Linked DNA regions of Arabidopsis thaliana. The protein of the gene in region 1 interacts with the protein of each later gene in a pairwise test. Each region holds a gene or a part of one and is shown in the gene's direction. Other genes may lie near its edges.

Region 1 (5,340 bases):
AAACATTTAAAAAGTCTCAAGCTTGAACACACAAACCTGTAGGTGAATAAAGTGGGTAGAGGAGATTTCTTAATAATGGTTTTTAGATCCTCAAGAGGATTGAAGTCCTTTAGCCAATCTAATCGAATTTCAACCAAGTCTGCACCCAATTCATGGGCTTTACTCGTTTCAATCACCATCTTGTCTATTGAATCCGCCATCACTGGAGCACAGATCAAGCTCGGATTCTTCACGATATCATGACTTCCGATCTCCATTTCCGTGGAATTTGAAGCCACCTGAGATCACAAAACAGGATAAATTCCACAATCAATTAAAAATCCAACTACTTCTCAGAACTAAACAAAAATTCTGAAGATCGATTCTAAATAGCTAAACCAATGTTGTACACGAAACATCAAAGTCTTCATCCAAAACTAATACCAAATTTATTTGAAGCGATAAATCTGCAAATTCATCATTACCTATCCTTCTCCAATAAAAACGGAACAGAAAACAACAAAAGAAAACTGAACTAAAGGAAGAATCACTAACATAGACATTGCTAGGTTCCATGCTTCGCCGGCGCCTTTGATCGGAAAATACCACCGGAAACGGTACACTCCTTAGCCGCGGGGACGAAGAATCGGCAAAGAAGCGAGTGGAGAAATCGGCGGCTGGAAAACGGAGATTGGCGACGGAGGTAGGTGAAAGTCGGGGTTTGGAGAGTAGACGAGGAGGGTTGGTGAGACGAGCATTAGTTGAAGAAGCTGCCATTGAGAGGCGACAAACAACAACGACCCTTTGCGGCTTTTTTTCACAACTTTTATTGGATTTCTAAATTTTGGTATTTTTAACGTTTTTATACGCTAAAAAATGGTAGGTGAAGTTTCGATTAGGCGCAAAAAAAAATTATTTATATCTCCTTTTCATTTTCTGATATTGACAATTATATATGTTTGTTTAAATCATCAAGAGAAAATTCGTTATCTGTAATCTGAAGTTAAGAATTATAGCAGAACAAATGACATCAACAATATGTGATTTTGTTCACACAAAAAAGAAAGTCAAACAAATAGAGGTCAGCAAGTTCTTGAGTCTTTAACTACACTGGTGGCCATTGTTGGGCATGCAATGTAGAAAACTCAGCACGTTTTGCACTACAATAGTGGGCTGCGTTTTTTGGGCCCATAGGAAGCCTCTTTAGTGGGCTCGAATTGCATAGCAAACTAAAGAACAATAAATAATAAATAATAATAATAATTCCCACACACCACAAAGCTTTTCTTAACTCGCCAATAAACTTTAGTACAAAAGACAACAAAATATTTGTTTAGGAACAACCCAATATAAAATGTGCTTTTTATTTGAACATCCAACGAGGCAACAACAAACGTAATTAGACCATCTCCATTGAAGGTATTTCATAAGAGTTTTTCACAATTAAAAAAATAAAAATAATGAAAATGAAGGAGAGAAAATGTAGAAAGTTTCTCACTTGAAAAATTTTGAGATATTCTCTACAACCCATCATGACAATTCTCATCTCACTATTGATTCAATTTTTTAACAAAATTACTTTTTTAATCAAATAATTAAATTATAATATAATATTAATATTTTTTTTGTTTTAGAAACTTTGTAGGTTTCTCATGGATGGAGATGCCTTTACTCGTACTTAGCAATATGTATAATTTGCATTAACATAATATTTTTCAGCAAAAAGTAAAGCACATGTTTATTCGAAAATATGTGCAATATATAAGAGCTTCTACTAAAAAGTGAAAACTCGATCTACGCCCATCTTCAAGAATTCAGCAAATATATTTTCTTTTCCACCGAACACATCCTTTAAATTGATAAATAATAATCTTTTTGGAAAAAGGTGAGACAAATTCCATTTAAAATCAATTTATAATATTTTACTATTAGAGCTAAAAGTTTTCTTTTATAGAGACAGTATCATTATTACAACACAAAATGCGCTCTCATCAGTTAAGGAAAAAAACAACTCAGCTTTGATTTGTTCATCATTACAGTAACCAAAAAAGATGGCTTCATCTATATTGCTAACACTCATCACCTTCATCTTTCTCTCCTCACTTTCTCTCTCTTCGCCGACGACAAATACAATCCCATCTTCGCAAACAATCTCTCCCTCTGAAGAAAAGATCTCACCGGAGATCGCTCCTCTCCTCCCTTCACCCGCCGTCTCCTCCACTCAAACCATCCCTTCTTCTTCAACACTTCCTGAACCAGAAAACGACGACGTTTCCGCAGATCCTGATCCCGCCTTCGCTCCATCGGCTTCTCCTCCGGCTTCATCTCTTGCTTCTCTGTCTTCTCAAGCTCCCGGAGTTTTCATCTACTTTGTCTTCGCCGCCGTCTATTGTTTCTCGCTCCGGCTTCTTGCCGTTTCAGCTATATAGGTCATTCATATATTTTAGACCACGTACGTCATTATTTTCATGAGTTTATTTGTCCCCTAAAAATAACGAATAAAATTAGATTTAGTTTGATTTTCAATTTTTTTTTACTATTTGTATTTTTTATTGTTCTCCACTTAACATTTTGTTACAGTTTTAGATTGGTTTAGATGAAAAACGCAAGTAATATATTACGTCAGAACCACATAATTGATGCATAATTAACTTAAGAACTCTGGATAAAAATAAAAATAAAAACTAATTTACCGTTAAGTGATTCAATACACTTTGAGGACTTATACTTTTCTCTTCTTTTCATTTCATTTGTTCGTTTACTATACACTAACTTTTTTTTTTTTTTTTATCGCTAAGCTAAAGAACCTTTTGAAAAAGTTGAAATTACGTTTCAAATTAAAGTGACGTCATATGCATGCTTTACAGTATACTGCAGTTTATAGTAGTATCAAAATCAAACGTTCCAAAAATTTGTACTGTTTACATGCAAATAACACTTGAGTAATTATATGTAGACTACTAATTAATTTCGACATAAGTTTATGTAAAACACCAGTTTTTTATGATTATTTTTGTCTTAATCTTGAGACGTGTTTATGAACTGAATGAATGTATTACTTTGTGAATTAACGTATTTAAGTATAGTGCATTATTGCATAATTCCTAAAATGCCACAAGGTTAGAGGCGCATGCATGTGAGTTACTGCATATGCTGGCCTCACGGCTAAAAGCAACAACAAAAAAAGGTGCCTTCTTTTCTTGTCCCACACTTTATCTTATTTCTGGGGTTTCAAAGTCTCAATATTAAAATTAATAATATCTAGGTGAGAAGAAATATGTAAAGGACGTTTCTTGTTTTCACATTATAGGGTTTTATGCGTGAAAGATTGTATATGTTACTATAAGGTTGATTGATACCCACTCACTTTGTCCTTATATACGTGCAAGCATAAAAATAAGATTAGATTTCTCAAAAGTTATATTTATATATAAGTTATCAGTTTATTTGTATATTGTCAACAAGTTTCTTGCAAAACCCAGTAATAAATTATGAACATTAGAAAGATTCGTGTCCCTTTGTTTTGTATAAGAAGTACAAGAAAGTGTACACAAACTTTAGATTAAAAAATCTGCTCACGTCCCACCAACGCAAACTCGAATCTCCAAACGCAGACGCTAACGTCTGCATATGAGCTAGGTGTACTCAAGTCACCCCTATATCAGTCCCTATTTACATGGACAGTTACAATTTTTCAACAAAACCACAAACTCAAACAACGAAAAACGGACCGGCTTTACAAAATCACACCACAAACCAAAAAATCACACCGGGCAAATAAGAACTCACATCCAAAACCATTATACCAAAACTGGAGGCAAAAAATTAGAGCCGGCCCATGTTGCGTCTGCGTCCAACAACGCCAAAAAACGCGATCAACAAGTCAAAGATCTTACTCATGTCATTATGGTCATCAAGGTTCGCCGTTTTGTTCCTTGTTTTCTACTTCTTCACTCCATTGCGGAACACTATTCTCAATGGGTGAACCTGGAACTACTGGTGAAACGCCTCGGCCACCAAATATGCGACGCATAACTGCGTTATCGAATTTCCTCCAGTAATGATGAATGGCCCTGGACGGAGATTTCCAGAACATTCTGAAGCTAACATGTTGTTCAGGGTCGTATTCTGACTGGCCTTGGGTACTGAGCAACGGCTCATGGAGGATCGGATCGTGGAAAGAAGATCTTAGTGTGATCTGCAGCGCGGTCGTGGAGGACTGTTTTGATGAAGGCTGCAAATGTTTGACTAACGGTTTGGTTAGCAATCCAAACACCTGCAAAAAAGGTTAGAGATTAGGTTACGTGTTGGATAGGCTAAACCCGATTTGACTTCAGTAGGAAGCAAACCGGTTTGAACAAAGTGTTGAAACGTACCACAGTACTGAAAAGAACAACAGTGATGGTACTGGTGATCATGATAGCGTTCCCAAGAACCTTGGTGTGTCCTGAAGTTGTGAACTATGATGTAACAGAGAGAAGAGATTAAGTCATGGGAACTTATTAAAACCCAAAGATCACTTTTTTATCTTTGTTTCTTGTAGTTCACGGATCAAAACCTGGTTATAAGCAAGAGCCATTGACACTGCACCACGCATCAGACCAGCCCACCAAATGGTTACTTGTTTCTTTAAGTCTATTTTCTCATCCGGTGAAGACTTTGTTAAATTGGACAAGAAGGAAAGTGGAAACACGAACGCGGCGCGACCCAGAAGAATAAGCCCAAGAAGTATTGAACTAACTCCAATCGACTGACCAGGACTGCCAAAATTGTTAAACAATATTATGAAAATGAAACAAAAGATATTGATGTATTATCACACTCTAAGTCTCACCTGTTGCGTACAACGTCCCATTTCTCGATATCGAGAGCGTCCATTCCAACGTAAAGGAAGATAAAAATCTCAGCTAGAAATGACATTGCAGCAAAAGTATGTCTACGCCAAGAAAACGTATACAGTTTAGTCAATCAAGCACAACAAATTAGTAGAGTTATTTTCTAATTATTGGGAGAAGAAAAAGAAACTTACTTTGTAGTGACCTTGGATTTATCTGTAACATTGTGCCATGTATAGTGAGACATAACAATCCCGCAGAAGAACACAGTCAAGATAGAGCTCAAGTGGAATAGCTGCAAAGGATATATGTATCATGTTTTCATTTTCTGTTGGAAAAAATGTAACCAAAACGTTTCAAATTTTTCTTATTACCTCTGCCAACATATATGATAAGTAAGCCAATAGCATCATAAGTGCAACTTCACGATCAGTAGAGTGCCTGATGTTACAAAACAAAACAAAAACAAAGCAAAAGGATTATTAAAGAAAGGGTAAAATCACATTTTTAACCATCAGTAGATACG
Region 2 (6,759 bases), on another chromosome or scaffold:
AAAAACGAATGTTTCCAGAATAAAAACACGAGATGTGAAGCAGAAGAGTACAACAAGTAGGTGCTGTAGCATATATTGAGTGACGAAGCAATGAAGGAACAGATTATTGTGAGCCACAAAATAAATTAAGAAATAATACAGTAGTGAAGTCGTTTCAAACAGAGGATTTATTCCACCTGCACTTGGAGGAGTTTCCTCTTTTCATAAGTCTAAAGAACAAATTTGCCTTTAAGAATAATTCTTCTGTGTTTTTTTTTAATATGGAATTTGAATGAAAGATTAGTGTGTGGATATGGATAATTAATTATATTTAAAAAATTATGTAATATTGATATGTTTGTAGTTTGGTTTCCCTTTCTATTGGCTGCTATTTACTTCATTCTTTCAATGATTGACGTTGAACTTCTTTTCGACCAAAATCAAAACATCCTCTCCTTTATGTATAACTTTGTTTCTTCTGATTTGATTTGTAACATTAACATGATTACATTTATATATAGTATATAATACGTAACCATGCATTTAACTTGGTACTTGGATTCGTTTATGAAAGATTGAAAGGAAAACGAAAGTTATATGATCACTACTCTTGAATTCGAACTCTAATTTAGGAAGAACAGTATAAACCCCAACATATAGTGTTTTCTGGTCTGAAAAACTTTGATTGTTTTGTTTTTGTGGTTTGGGAAAAAACATCAACATAATATTCATGACGTCAAAAGTACAAAACAAATAAGATGGATTTTGAATAAACTTTCCAATCGTGCTAGCTAGCTATTTCTGACATAATTCAAGAAGAATAATGAAAATATGTCACACAAAAACAAAAGTATTAACGATGAATGAATGAATGAGAGAAGACAAAAACCTTTTTGATATTAAAAAGACTGTAATATATATCAACACATCAGGAGAGAAATTTGAAAGCATATTATAGATTTGTAATCATCAAGTGATAAATAGAACTTATTCTACTAGCATTATTATTCATATTTATATATGATCCCTCAATTTCACCAGTGAATAAGCATCCTCCACGTTTTCACAGATTTCTAATCCACCGATTTTAACTTTTGTTCCATCAGTCAAATCCCCCTTTTTGTTTTTGTTTTAGTCCGACTATATATATTTGTTTGCTTATGTTTTTCTATTTGTTCCAAATCTTTGGTAAAGATAGGTGTTTCCATAAAATGTTATTATCAAATCAAATGATAAATAAATGCTTTCCAGATCATTTTATGCCTCTGCATGATTCTCTAGTAATTAGATCAAATCAATTTTCTCATCATGAATATGTGTAATAGAAAAGACTTTGTGAATGGACAATATATATGGTTACAAAACAAAAATATACCATAGAATTAAAAAGTGCTAATATGATGATATTGCACCTAGCAATATGTGTTGTTGTGATTATATTAGAGTCCAGAAGGCAAATAATAAATTTGTTGTCTAGCAAGAAAGGACAAGAGCACGAGGTACAAATTTTTCTGTAAACTTTTGTAGTTCTTGAATGGCTTCCTCAATCCTCACGATGATAGATTTTTCGCTAGCTCGTAGTATAATATGGTTCTTTGATATTTTAACAAAGAAGAAAGACATGGCCATATGATTTTTTATCGAACGAAACATAAAAAACAACGTAAAACATGGTTTAAGATAAAAGTAAGTAAGTTATTTGTAGACTTCTCTATCTATCTATATATTAACATATTCTAAAACCCATGACATGTTATTTCTTAAACCATGAATATATTGAAACATTCAAATCATCACTAGGTATAAGTAAGTGAAATTCATTTTCTTATAAGAAATCTCTCTTTGTCGGTTATGAAATTGGTTGCTATCGCCAGGTCGTAGGGCACAAATACCCATTTCGGCATATATACAAACTATTCCATGCACTTTACTTATATTACATGCACTAGCATAGTTCTGCTCCCATTTTATGAAAGTGGTTAATAAATATAAATATTAAGATTAAGAAAAAAACGATTAAGCAAATATTTCGAATAAATTATTGAAAATATATTATTTGGTTAGTCTCATGTGTTGTGGCGACGAGTTACGACAGCCAAAAACATATATTGGTCGAGACGATCTTCTAGTTATGGTGCTAAAGCTGCAACCTCATTCTTTATTCTGCGACATTACCATTAATTAATATAGTCAAATATTGAAAGAAATGTTTACGTCATACACAAACACTACACTCACTATTTACAGGAAACAATTGGAATAGAATCATATGCCACGGCACGGTCTGGTCAATTATATTGATAACGATAACTCTCTTGTTTCTCAATTAAACTAATGGCTAAAAATATGAGGTTGATTTTAATTTTTTTATCTAAATATTTAGACTCAAATTTCAATTGTATCTATTCTATAGGAATTTAGCCAAATTATTTATAAATATTCGTAATCATATTCCGAAGAAAAAAATATTATTGTTTAATTTATATCTAAACTTTACTTTTGTTTGAATATTACTCATGGATATCTCATTACCTATCTTTTTTCTACAACAAATAAAACAATTAAAAATTTATCTATAAATATGAACATGTTGGTTTCTCTATCGTAACACATTTACTATCTACGAACGAATTTAGAAGCTTTGTTTTCTTTCCTTTCGTTTGCTACTACTGCAACATTTCTATTTTTCTGATAAAACCATGATAAATTGTGGAGATGTTTACAAGGTAATCGAAGCAATGGTTCCACTCTATGTAGCCTTAATCTTAGGCTATGGCTCTGTGAAATGGTGGCACATCTTCACGCGTGATCAATGTGATGCTATAAACCGTCTCGTTTGCTATTTCACCCTGCCGCTCTTCACCATTGAGTTCACGGCCCATGTCGACCCGTTCAACATGAATTACCGGTTCATCGCGGCCGATGTCCTCTCTAAGGTCATCATAGTCACGGTCTTAGCGTTGTGGGCCAAATATAGCAACAAAGGAAGCTATTGTTGGTCCATTACTAGTTTCTCTCTATGCACTCTTACTAACTCTCTTGTCGTTGGTGTGCCATTGGCTAAGGCAATGTACGGACAACAGGCTGTTGATCTGGTGGTTCAATCCTCGGTATTTCAAGCCATCGTGTGGCTCACACTCTTGTTGTTTGTCTTAGAGTTTAGAAAAGCCGGATTTAGTAGTAATAATATCAGCGACGTACAAGTAGACAACATCAATATCGAAAGTGGAAAAAGAGAAACTGTGGTTGTGGGAGAGAAGTCGTTCCTTGAGGTCATGTCCCTCGTTTGGTTGAAGCTTGCAACGAATCCAAATTGCTATTCTTGCATCCTTGGGATCGCATGGGCTTTTATTTCTAACAGGTAAAAATGAATCTTTAATTAAACTTTATATTGGTACCTATAAGATGTTTAACAAAGTGTTAATTAGTATGTGTGATCAGGGACTCAGGAGACTACATTAATTCCACCCCTTACTCCGAGGCAACCGTTAAAATTGCCTAAAAATATCTATAGTTTGACGTTTAAACCATCTAAATTATTACTTTTCTGTGTAGCGCCTGATGATCTATAGTTAAAATTTTGACAGAAATATAGGTCACGATTGTTTCTTTGCATTTGCGTTTATATTTCCATGTGACAAATGACTAGGACATTTTTAACATGGTAACATAATTTGCAAACGTGACATGTACATGCAAATAAACTAATCATGATTTTAATCTGAATATTAGAGTCTTTGACCAAATTTCTATTTTATTTGTTTTAGTGTGAATTTTGGGTTTAGGGTTTTGATTAGTGTTTTGTATACTCTTGGCTAACAAATAAAGACTTAAGTCTAATAATTGATGGAAATTAATTGGAAATATAGATGGCATCTGGAGCTGCCGGGCATATTAGAGGGTTCGATTCTTATAATGTCAAAAGCAGGAACAGGAACGGCCATGTTCAATATGGGTACGTTTATTTATGTCCATGCAAGTATCTTTCTATACGTAAAGATTACGTATCAGTATTGAGATAACAGTGAATACATGCATATATACGCAGGAATATTCATGGCACTTCAAGAAAAGTTGATAGTATGTGGAACAAGCTTGACTGTGATGGGAATGGTATTGAAGTTTATTGCCGGACCGGCGGCCATGGCCATCGGCTCTATTGTCCTTGGCCTCCACGGTGATGTCCTCCGCGTAGCCATCATTCAGGTCATAAATTCTACTTTATCCTTTTGTACCCTAATTCTACTGAAGTTTGTATATAAAAAAAAAAGTAGATCATTTTCCATTCATTCATCCACTAAGATACTAACTTTATATTTTTCAGTTTAATATATCATTAATATTTATATGAAATTTACAGGCTGCTTTGCCACAATCGATTACTTCGTTCATTTTTGCTAAGGAATATGGATTACATGCAGATGTTCTAAGCACAGCGTAAGTCCAAATTTTAAAAATTCAGTCTATTTAAGAAGAAAATGGTAATATGAAATTAAATTAAAATTTTGATAAATGTAGGGTGATATTTGGGATGTTGGTCTCTCTACCTGTGCTCGTCGCCTACTACGCAGCTCTGGAGTTTATTCATTGATTAAACTAATAAATTCGATTATATCATCAATATTACCCTTTGTTCATCTTTCACAAGTTTTTTTTTTTGTTATCTCTTTTACACTTTCCTCCTAAAGGAGATTTTGAAGTATATTCGAGATATGAAAACCATTAACTGAATGAATTAACCTAGTTTATGCTTAATTTTATACTTTCTTAAGCTCTCTTTATTTTCGTAGTATGCATAATTTAGTATTTTGTTCACATATACGTATCAAGAAAAGATAAAAACTCTATAAATGAAAATACATCATGTTCGGATCTAAAATTGTTTTAATACGTACACTAAATATTATAAGCCCTTTTTTTGTTAACAAAAAAAAAAAAAGAATAAATGAAACGAAATTCAGGTTAGAGATCAAATAAAATCTTGTTATTATTTGATTCATGATCATACATACTAACCAAATCAGGATTTATGAAATAAATTATTCTTTCTCCTCAACCGAATCAATATGAAGATAAAAGGGGTAATTTAGTCTTTTCGAATTCGTTTTTCTTACCGAATCTCTTTAGTTTTTTTTCTTTCTTTTGTGTGGAGGAGAGAAGAGAACGCAACACTTTCTTCCCAATCTCTCTCTGCTTTCTCTCTCTAGACGTGATCTCTAATTCTCTAATGTCTTCCTGCATTGCCATTTCCTCTAACCCCTCCACAATCGGAGGAAGACGATTCCTGGGAGCAAGAGAAACGATGGGACTTCCCATCGGAAAATCTCTTAGAGTGAGAGAATTATGGTGTGTTCTTAATGCTTAATAATCACCGACACAGCCATTGTTCTTCATCATCTCCATGGATTTTGATTCCATTTCTCGGGAAAGCACTTTTCTTTCCCCATTGCTTAACCAAAGTACCATCCTTTATTCCCTCTCTGATGTTCTGATTCAATCTTAAAAACCTCAGCTTGAATTTTTGTTGTGGGGTTTTGGTTGGGTTTGTGAATTTTAGATGCAATGTGGCAAATGAACTTGGGATCAGATGATACAATGGGTGTTGATGGGTCTTATCCGGAACGTCACGGAGAGCCAGATTGTGCTTATTATATAAGGACTGGACTTTGTAGGTTTGGTTCAACTTGCCGATTCAATCATCCTCACGACCGGAAACTGGTACTGACTCTGTTTCTGTGTTTGTTCTTTCCTCTGTATCTTGTTGACTCAAAGTTTGTAGCTTTGAGGGTCTGTGTGTGTGTGTGATTACAAGCTGATGAATAGTCTCGTATCCAATTTCTAGGTTATAGCAACTGCAAGGATTAAAGGAGAATACCCTGAAAGAATTGGTCAGCCTGAATGTGAGGTAGCTCTGTTTCGAATTACTATCATAGTAATGTCTTCTAGTTATCACATTGTCTCAAAGCTTCTATTTTTGTTGTTGTGTCTGTGCAGTTTTATCTGAAGACAGGGACCTGCAAATTCGGAGTGACTTGCAAGTTTCATCATCCTAGGAACAAAGCTGGTATTGATGGAAGTGTATCAGTTAATGTCTTAAGCTATCCTCTACGTCCGGTATGTATACATTTCAACTTTCTAATCTCACCACTGCTTTGTAAAATTTTGCCTCTCTCATGAGTTCTGTTTGCAGAACGAAGATGATTGCTCTTACTTTTTGAGAATTGGACAATGTAAATTTGGGGGAACTTGTAAATTCAATCACCCTCAGACTCAATCAACCAACTTGATGGTTTCTGTTCGTGGCTCTCCGGTTTACTCTGCTCTTCAATCTCTAACTGGTCAACCGTCTTATTCTTGGTCGAGAACATCTTTTGTTGCAAACCCTCCTCGTTTGCAAGATCCTTCTGGTTTCGCTTCAGGATCTCAAGGAGGTCTCTTCTCATCCGGGTTTCATTCGGGAAATTCTGTTCCGCTCGGGTTCTATGCATTACCTAGAGAGAATGTATTCCCGGAAAGACCAGGCCAACCTGAATGCCAATTCTACATGAAGACAGGAGATTGCAAATTTGGAACAGTCTGCAAATTTCATCATCCTAGAGACAGGCAAACCCCTCCTCCTGATTGTGTCTTAAGCTCGGTTGGCCTTCCTTTACGCCCGGTAAGCTAATAAAAGACTTCAGATTCTTTCCTTTATAGTCTCATTATGTGGTTTGGTAAATTCTTGTTGCTGGTTTGAAACAGGGAGAACCACTGTGCGTGTTCTATTCTCGGTATGGGATC
Region 3 (6,046 bases), on another chromosome or scaffold:
TAGATCGGTTCTATTCCAATTACGAGGTTTTTGGTTTTAGAGATTTAGGTCTCATTCGGCTATTATAATTTTCTTTTATTTGGTTGGTTCAATTTTTTGGGTTTGGGACAATTCTAGTGTTTACGTTGAGGATGGTCTCATGGACAAACAAAATTTAGATGTGGTTCATATTCCTTACTTTTTTTAATCCAAATGTATCTTCATGTAACAAAAAAAAAAAAACCAAAATATTAGAAAATTATAATTGTATAACTATATATACTCAAATCTACACAAAATAGCCAAAACAAAATTTGTGACAAAATATATGCAATAATAGATGAAATATCCGAAAATAGGTATACAGTAATTAATATTTTTTGGGTATATATGTAAGTTGATTGTAGTTCAAACTTAAAATAACATAAAAATAAAGTGGGAAAGGGAGCTGGAGCATCAGAGACGAACAGCTTGGAGACGGTCTCACGCTTATGTCTCATGATCCTTTTTCTGTGGGCAAATTGGACCACATATAAATAAATACATACTAGTATTTGTTTACTTTTTCTTTTCTATATTAAATTGTTTCAAACGATGATACAAATTCAAAGTATTTAGATAGGCTTAGAAAGAGAGATTTAGGATATTTAAGTGGTTAGTTTTGTTTGGTCAGATTATGTTACAAGTAACTTTCTTCTATGTACTGATGATCTACATGAATCTAGGACAACACTTTCCCCAAATCAAGGTAGAAGACAAGGAAGGTTAATTGATTAGTAAAAGTCTATCAAGAGGTATTATCGGTTAAAATTAGATTCGGTTTAGTTTAGGTTAAACAAAAATTGACATTGTTTTTTTTGTTTAGTTTCGTTGATTTTTAATAACTCGTCCATTCTGCATGTCTAAATGCAGAGCCGTTCCTATGTTTTACAAGGCTACAAACGACAAAAAAAGAGGCCATTTTACACATATTCATGAAGGTAATGTACGAATTTTTCAGCATCAAGATTTTATAGTAACTAGTGAATACTAAGATTGTGGAGATTGTGGCTATGTAAGATAACATATAAGCATATATGGTATTTGCCTTTATTTGATAGATTGAAGCAATAGTATTAGTCTGAGAGGACAACGGCGGTATGAGACGACGGCATGCAGAACATGCATTCACATGAGAGATTTCACATACTTTGGGTACAGCATGGAAGTATTTTTCTTCCATATATCGAGACTTTGCAAATGGACCAAAAAATGTCTATCTACGTTTTCTTGTAGTTAACCAACAAAAGTTGTGAGGGTAGGAAGAACTCAGAGGAATCAGGTAATGGAGAAGGAGAAGAAGCCGATGGAGCTGCTATATACAATGTCAAATTTTGACCAATTTTCTTACCAACAAAATGGTCAAACTTTTTATTGAAAAACTTTCGAACAAACTAAGACGAATATATGAAATGATCAGTAATTGGTGAAATTTTTTGGACTCATATAATGAGTAGATAAATGGTCAAAACAAATTGACGACGAATTCAAGTTTTAATCAAAAAATGGTTAGTAAAATATATATATATATATATATATAGATATCTGACATTATAAGTGTTTGTAGTTATTTTAGAATGGTCATAAAGTCGTCAAGATGTTTTCGATAATTAGTAAAACTTTTCTTACGTAAAGTGTTAAATTTTTTACTAACCCATTATTTGACCAATTTATCACATAATCCATGGTCGAAAATGGACAATTTGCTTATGACATGTTGATGTTCTAATTTTTATATTAGTATCGTGTCAACTTACGTGATTGCATTTATAAGCAATTTTGCACTTATATGTGCTTTGATTGTCCTTTGGAGTCGAACATGGCTCCACATTGTTAAAGCTTTCATCGCCTCACCATATATCCCATAACACAAGTTCTTTGATAAAGATCACATACATATACCTTGATCTGTTTTCCTTCTTTGCAGTCCAAAAATTCCTATTAAATTTTCTCTTATGCAACTACTTGATTTTCTTCTATTTACGTTTGTTAATTCATCATCCTCTATTGATTAATGATTTTTCTTGATCGTTGTTACATTGGATTGGATTGTAAGAGACTATGATCATTCTTATGCAGTGGATTATAAAATGAAAATGAATAACAAATCATTACAAATAAATTAGTTTTTAACAATCTGAACTACTTTATATCCAATGGAAACAATTTAAACGTATCCAACCAGTAACACCTCTTTGATATTGAAGGACACAAATCAGAGTACTGTACTGTGTAAGCATATTTCAAATTTGTTACCCAATCTCCAAAAACAATATGTCAAATAAAGTAATACATCTCAGAACTCACTAAAGAACATAATACAAGTCAACTTTCGAAACTCAAATCAATCACTCATCATCATACATTAATTTCATTCCATGTGCTCCTTAGTCCTTACCATTTTCTTTTCACTTTCTTTTCCTTACAATTAAAAAAAAAAACTCATTATAAGTAGCTTCGTTGTATTACGCACAAATCACAACATCAACTAAACCATATATCAAAATTTCGTTAGATTAGAACTTTTAAATTCATTCAAAAGCCATGAAGAAGATCGAGTTAGGGCACCATAGCGAAGCGGCTAAACCGGACTGCATTAAAGCCCTCATTGTCGAATTCATCACTACCTTTCTCTTTGTCTTCGCTGGTGTTGGATCTGCCATGGCCACTGGTAATTTCTCAGGCTTCTATTTCTAGCAAACCAAGTAGCTTAACTTGGTTCTTGACACTACGATGCACTTCAATTTACAACTTAATTTTATTTTATTCATTTTCTTAGACAGTTTAGTCGGAAACACATTGGTGGGACTTTTCGCGGTCGCGGTGGCTCATGCATTCGTTGTGGCGGTAATGATATCTGCGGGCCATATCTCCGGTGGCCACCTCAACCCCGCCGTCACCCTCGGTCTACTCTTGGGTGGCCACATCAGCGTATTCCGTGCATTCCTTTATTGGATTGATCAATTGTTGGCCTCCTCCGCAGCATGCTTCCTCCTCAGTTACCTCACCGGAGGAATGGTACAAAAATCTAATTTAATATTACAAAAAAACATATTATTGCTAATCAACAACTTATAACGCTACTAAAAGTAATGCCAAGGACGGAATTATAAATTATGATCCAATGACACACATTTTCACATGATTCTATTGGTTCAATAATTAAGTCAACTATCAATTGCTTACCTACATTTTTTTTGTTTCGTATATAATTTTTTCTGATTCAATAATACACAAGTTCTATTATGTACTAGTACAGATTTTTTTATTTATTGATTAATCTACAATAATTTTTTTTCTAATCGAATTGGTAAAACTTTTAATTACATACACTTCAAACAATGATTTGATTCCTGCCTGTTCGATATAACACGTAGTTTGACATTTTACAATTATGTTTTGTGATTAGGGAACTCCGGTTCACACATTGGCAAGTGGAGTGAGTTACACGCAAGGGATCATATGGGAGATCATCTTAACATTTTCACTTCTCTTCACTGTCTACGCCACTATTGTGGATCCGAAGAAAGGATCCCTTGATGGGTTCGGCCCACTTCTCACAGGATTTGTCGTTGGAGCCAACATCCTTGCAGGAGGTGCCTTTTCTGGCGCCTCCATGAACCCCGCCCGGTCTTTTGGTCCCGCTTTGGTCTCTGGAAACTGGACTGACCATTGGGTATATTGGGTTGGACCGTTGATCGGTGGTGGACTCGCCGGTTTCATCTACGAGAATGTCCTCATTGACCGTCCACATGTCCCAGTCGCTGACGACGAGCAACCATTGTTGAATTAAATGTGTTTGAAACTGTGCTATGCACGTCACATACCCTATTAGCTAATCATTAATGTATTATTGATCCCCAAAAATCGTTTCAATAATGTATTATTGATCCCAAAAATTGTTTCTTTCTGTCCTCTAAGATGTATCTCTTTTAAGTTGGAACCTTAATCTATTAATTCCAATTATTGAGAATAAAACTTTCTGTTTACCACTTTTTCATTTTTGAGAATTTGTGAAGTTAAAAAAATATACATATTATGAGAATGTTTTAAACGGGAAATTTTCTTCTCTCGCTTCTATTCGTCTAAAATTTAGGGCCGGTTTTGGTGGTGTGTAGGTGGCCGACGAACTTATGTAATTTGGCGCGTGCAGTCTGAAACATACATGTTTCCTTCGTTGATGTCTGATCAGCCAAACTTGTTTCATTTCTGTACTTTGAGAATTTTTCTACGTTCGAAGTTTCGAATGTTTACAGGAAATCACACTTCTTGATGGTTTACTAATAACGTCTTGTTTTTTATTTTCGACTGAAACCACATTTTTCTATCACACAAACAATGTTGCATTATTGTATACAGAAATCGTTTATGGCTTTAACCGTTTAATGTTACGTTTAATTTTTTAACCTATATTATTTGAGTTATCTTCTATATGTAAATTTAGTCGAGTGTTTTAAAATGGATTAAACAAAAAATTAAGGTTTTTTATCGTTAAATTTTCTTCTTTTTTTTAATATCTAGAAATTCAAATTTGAAGGTTCTACATCTATAAAGACGGGATTCACACCAGATTAAATTCTATTGTCAAATATTAAATCACAGTCATTGGAATTTGACACCCTTTATATAATTAATTCGTAAGCAATACCCCCACACTACTTCTCGTATGCGAGCCCACACAGACAGTACTATAGTATATATAATGTCATCGGAAAGAAGAAACATAAAATGACTAGTTCATAAAACAAAAACTTTCTTATATTACACCGACACTAAAAAAATGTCTCATTCCTTCTTGCCTAGGAACTAATTGTTGCACACTTCGGTACACAATTTTTTGAGCACTTCGACATCAAAACGAGAGAGAAAAGAATGGTGGATTCTCATGGCTCCGACACGGAATGTTCCTCCAAGAAGAAAAAGGAGAAAACGAAAGAAAAGGGGGTATATCGTGGGGCTCGCATGAGGAGCTGGGGGAAATGGGTCTCGGAGATTCGGGAGCCCCGTAAGAAATCAAGAATCTGGCTCGGGACTTTCCCCACGGCGGAGATGGCAGCGCGTGCCCATGATGTTGCGGCATTGAGTATCAAAGGAAGTTCCGCAATCCTTAACTTCCCTGAGCTCGCGGATTTTCTGCCAAGACCAGTCTCGCTCAGCCAACAGGATATCCAGGCCGCAGCCGCCGAAGCCGCTCTTATGGATTTCAAAACTGTACCATTCCATCTTCAGGATGACTCAACGCCGTTGCAAACTAGGTGTGATACTGAGAAGATCGAAAAGTGGTCATCCTCATCGTCCTCAGCCTCATCCTCATCCTCATCTTCGTCCTCGTCCTCATCATCTATGCTTTCGGGGGAGCTAGGAGATATTGTGGAGTTGCCGAGTCTTGAAAACAATGTAAAATACGATTGTGCGCTGTATGACTCGTTGGAGGGGCTGGTGTCGATGCCCCCATGGTTAGATGCTACCGAAAATGATTTTAGGTATGGAGATGATTCGGTACTGTTGGACCCATGTCTCAAAGAAAGCTTTTTGTGGAATTATGAGTAAGGTTTTTTTTTGGAAAGAAATGTGGTTTTTTGTTTCCTCCTCTCTTTTATACTTTCGATCTTTTTTTCTAAGCATATATATCTTCTACATATGTAATACTTTTCCATTAGTAAACAATGATTCGGTTTCGGGTACGTAGATGATTTGTGTAAATATATAACATCATAAGCTTGATCTATAGTTACGATAATTCATTACAATAACATATATATTTTGCCTTGCAATCTGCACCATAATGAAGGAAAATTTACTAGTCAATTTGCATATTTGGCATGGTGTAATAAATCCTTTAGAATATTACAAACATATAGACCTTGATGATTGGTAAATACATACGGAGGAAAAGTGTGTACCAAAAAGAAAATACAACAACAAATCTTGAACGAGTTATACCGCTAAACAATTCGCCCTACAATAAAAGTATTGTGGAGTTTAGAAAAAAAAGAGAGAAATTAGAAAATCTCTTACGAATGAGACT

The links. Proteins that work in one complex are often made in the same cells at the same time.
Region 2: the proteins of AGP27 (region 1) and PIN5 interact in a protein complementation assay, tested with the Arabidopsis thaliana proteins (one large-scale study listed by BioGRID).
Region 3: the proteins of AGP27 (region 1) and TIP4;1 interact in a protein complementation assay, tested with the Arabidopsis thaliana proteins (one large-scale study listed by BioGRID).

Annotation. Positions count from the first base shown.
Region 1 is NC_003074.8:1,926,946-1,932,285, forward strand, and holds AGP27 (arabinogalactan protein 27), read left to right. Parts: upstream 1-1,922; 5' UTR 1,923-2,030; coding exon 2,031-2,408; 3' UTR 2,409-2,739; downstream 2,740-5,340. Other genes in the region: MEE32 (dehydroquinate dehydratase, putative / shikimate dehydrogenase), read right to left, coding at 37-278, 535-756; NHX4 (sodium hydrogen exchanger 4), read right to left, coding at 3,893-4,255, 4,356-4,439, 4,538-4,739, 4,814-4,915, 5,009-5,109, 5,189-5,255. UniProt on the Arabidopsis thaliana protein: Proteoglycan that seems to be implicated in diverse developmental roles such as differentiation, cell-cell recognition, embryogenesis and programmed cell death.
Region 2 is NC_003076.8:5,398,057-5,404,815, forward strand, and holds PIN5 (Auxin efflux carrier family protein), read left to right. Parts: upstream 1-2,583; 5' UTR 2,584-2,678; coding exon 2,679-3,340; intron 3,341-3,848; coding exon 3,849-3,934; intron 3,935-4,027; coding exon 4,028-4,185; intron 4,186-4,339; coding exon 4,340-4,416; coding exon of another isoform or gene 4,417-4,420; exon of another isoform or gene 4,421-4,497; coding exon 4,498-4,570; 3' UTR 4,571-4,789; downstream 4,790-6,759. Other genes in the region: ZFN3 (zinc finger nuclease 3), read left to right, coding at 5,381-5,438, 5,537-5,697, 5,822-5,884, 5,974-6,093, 6,170-6,637, 6,721-6,759. UniProt on the Arabidopsis thaliana protein: Auxin transporter regulating intracellular auxin homeostasis and metabolism. Mediates the auxin transport from the cytosol into the lumen of the endoplasmic reticulum. May also act as an auxin efflux carrier when located to the cell membrane.
Region 3 is NC_003071.7:11,010,096-11,016,141, forward strand, and holds TIP4;1 (tonoplast intrinsic protein 4;1), read left to right. Parts: upstream 1-2,403; 5' UTR 2,404-2,562; coding exon 2,563-2,689; intron 2,690-2,797; coding exon 2,798-3,036; intron 3,037-3,427; coding exon 3,428-3,811; 3' UTR 3,812-4,076; downstream 4,077-6,046. Other genes in the region: ESE2 (Integrase-type DNA-binding superfamily protein), read left to right, coding at 4,891-5,568. UniProt on the Arabidopsis thaliana protein: Aquaporins facilitate the transport of water and small neutral solutes across cell membranes. Transports urea in yeast cells in a pH-independent manner.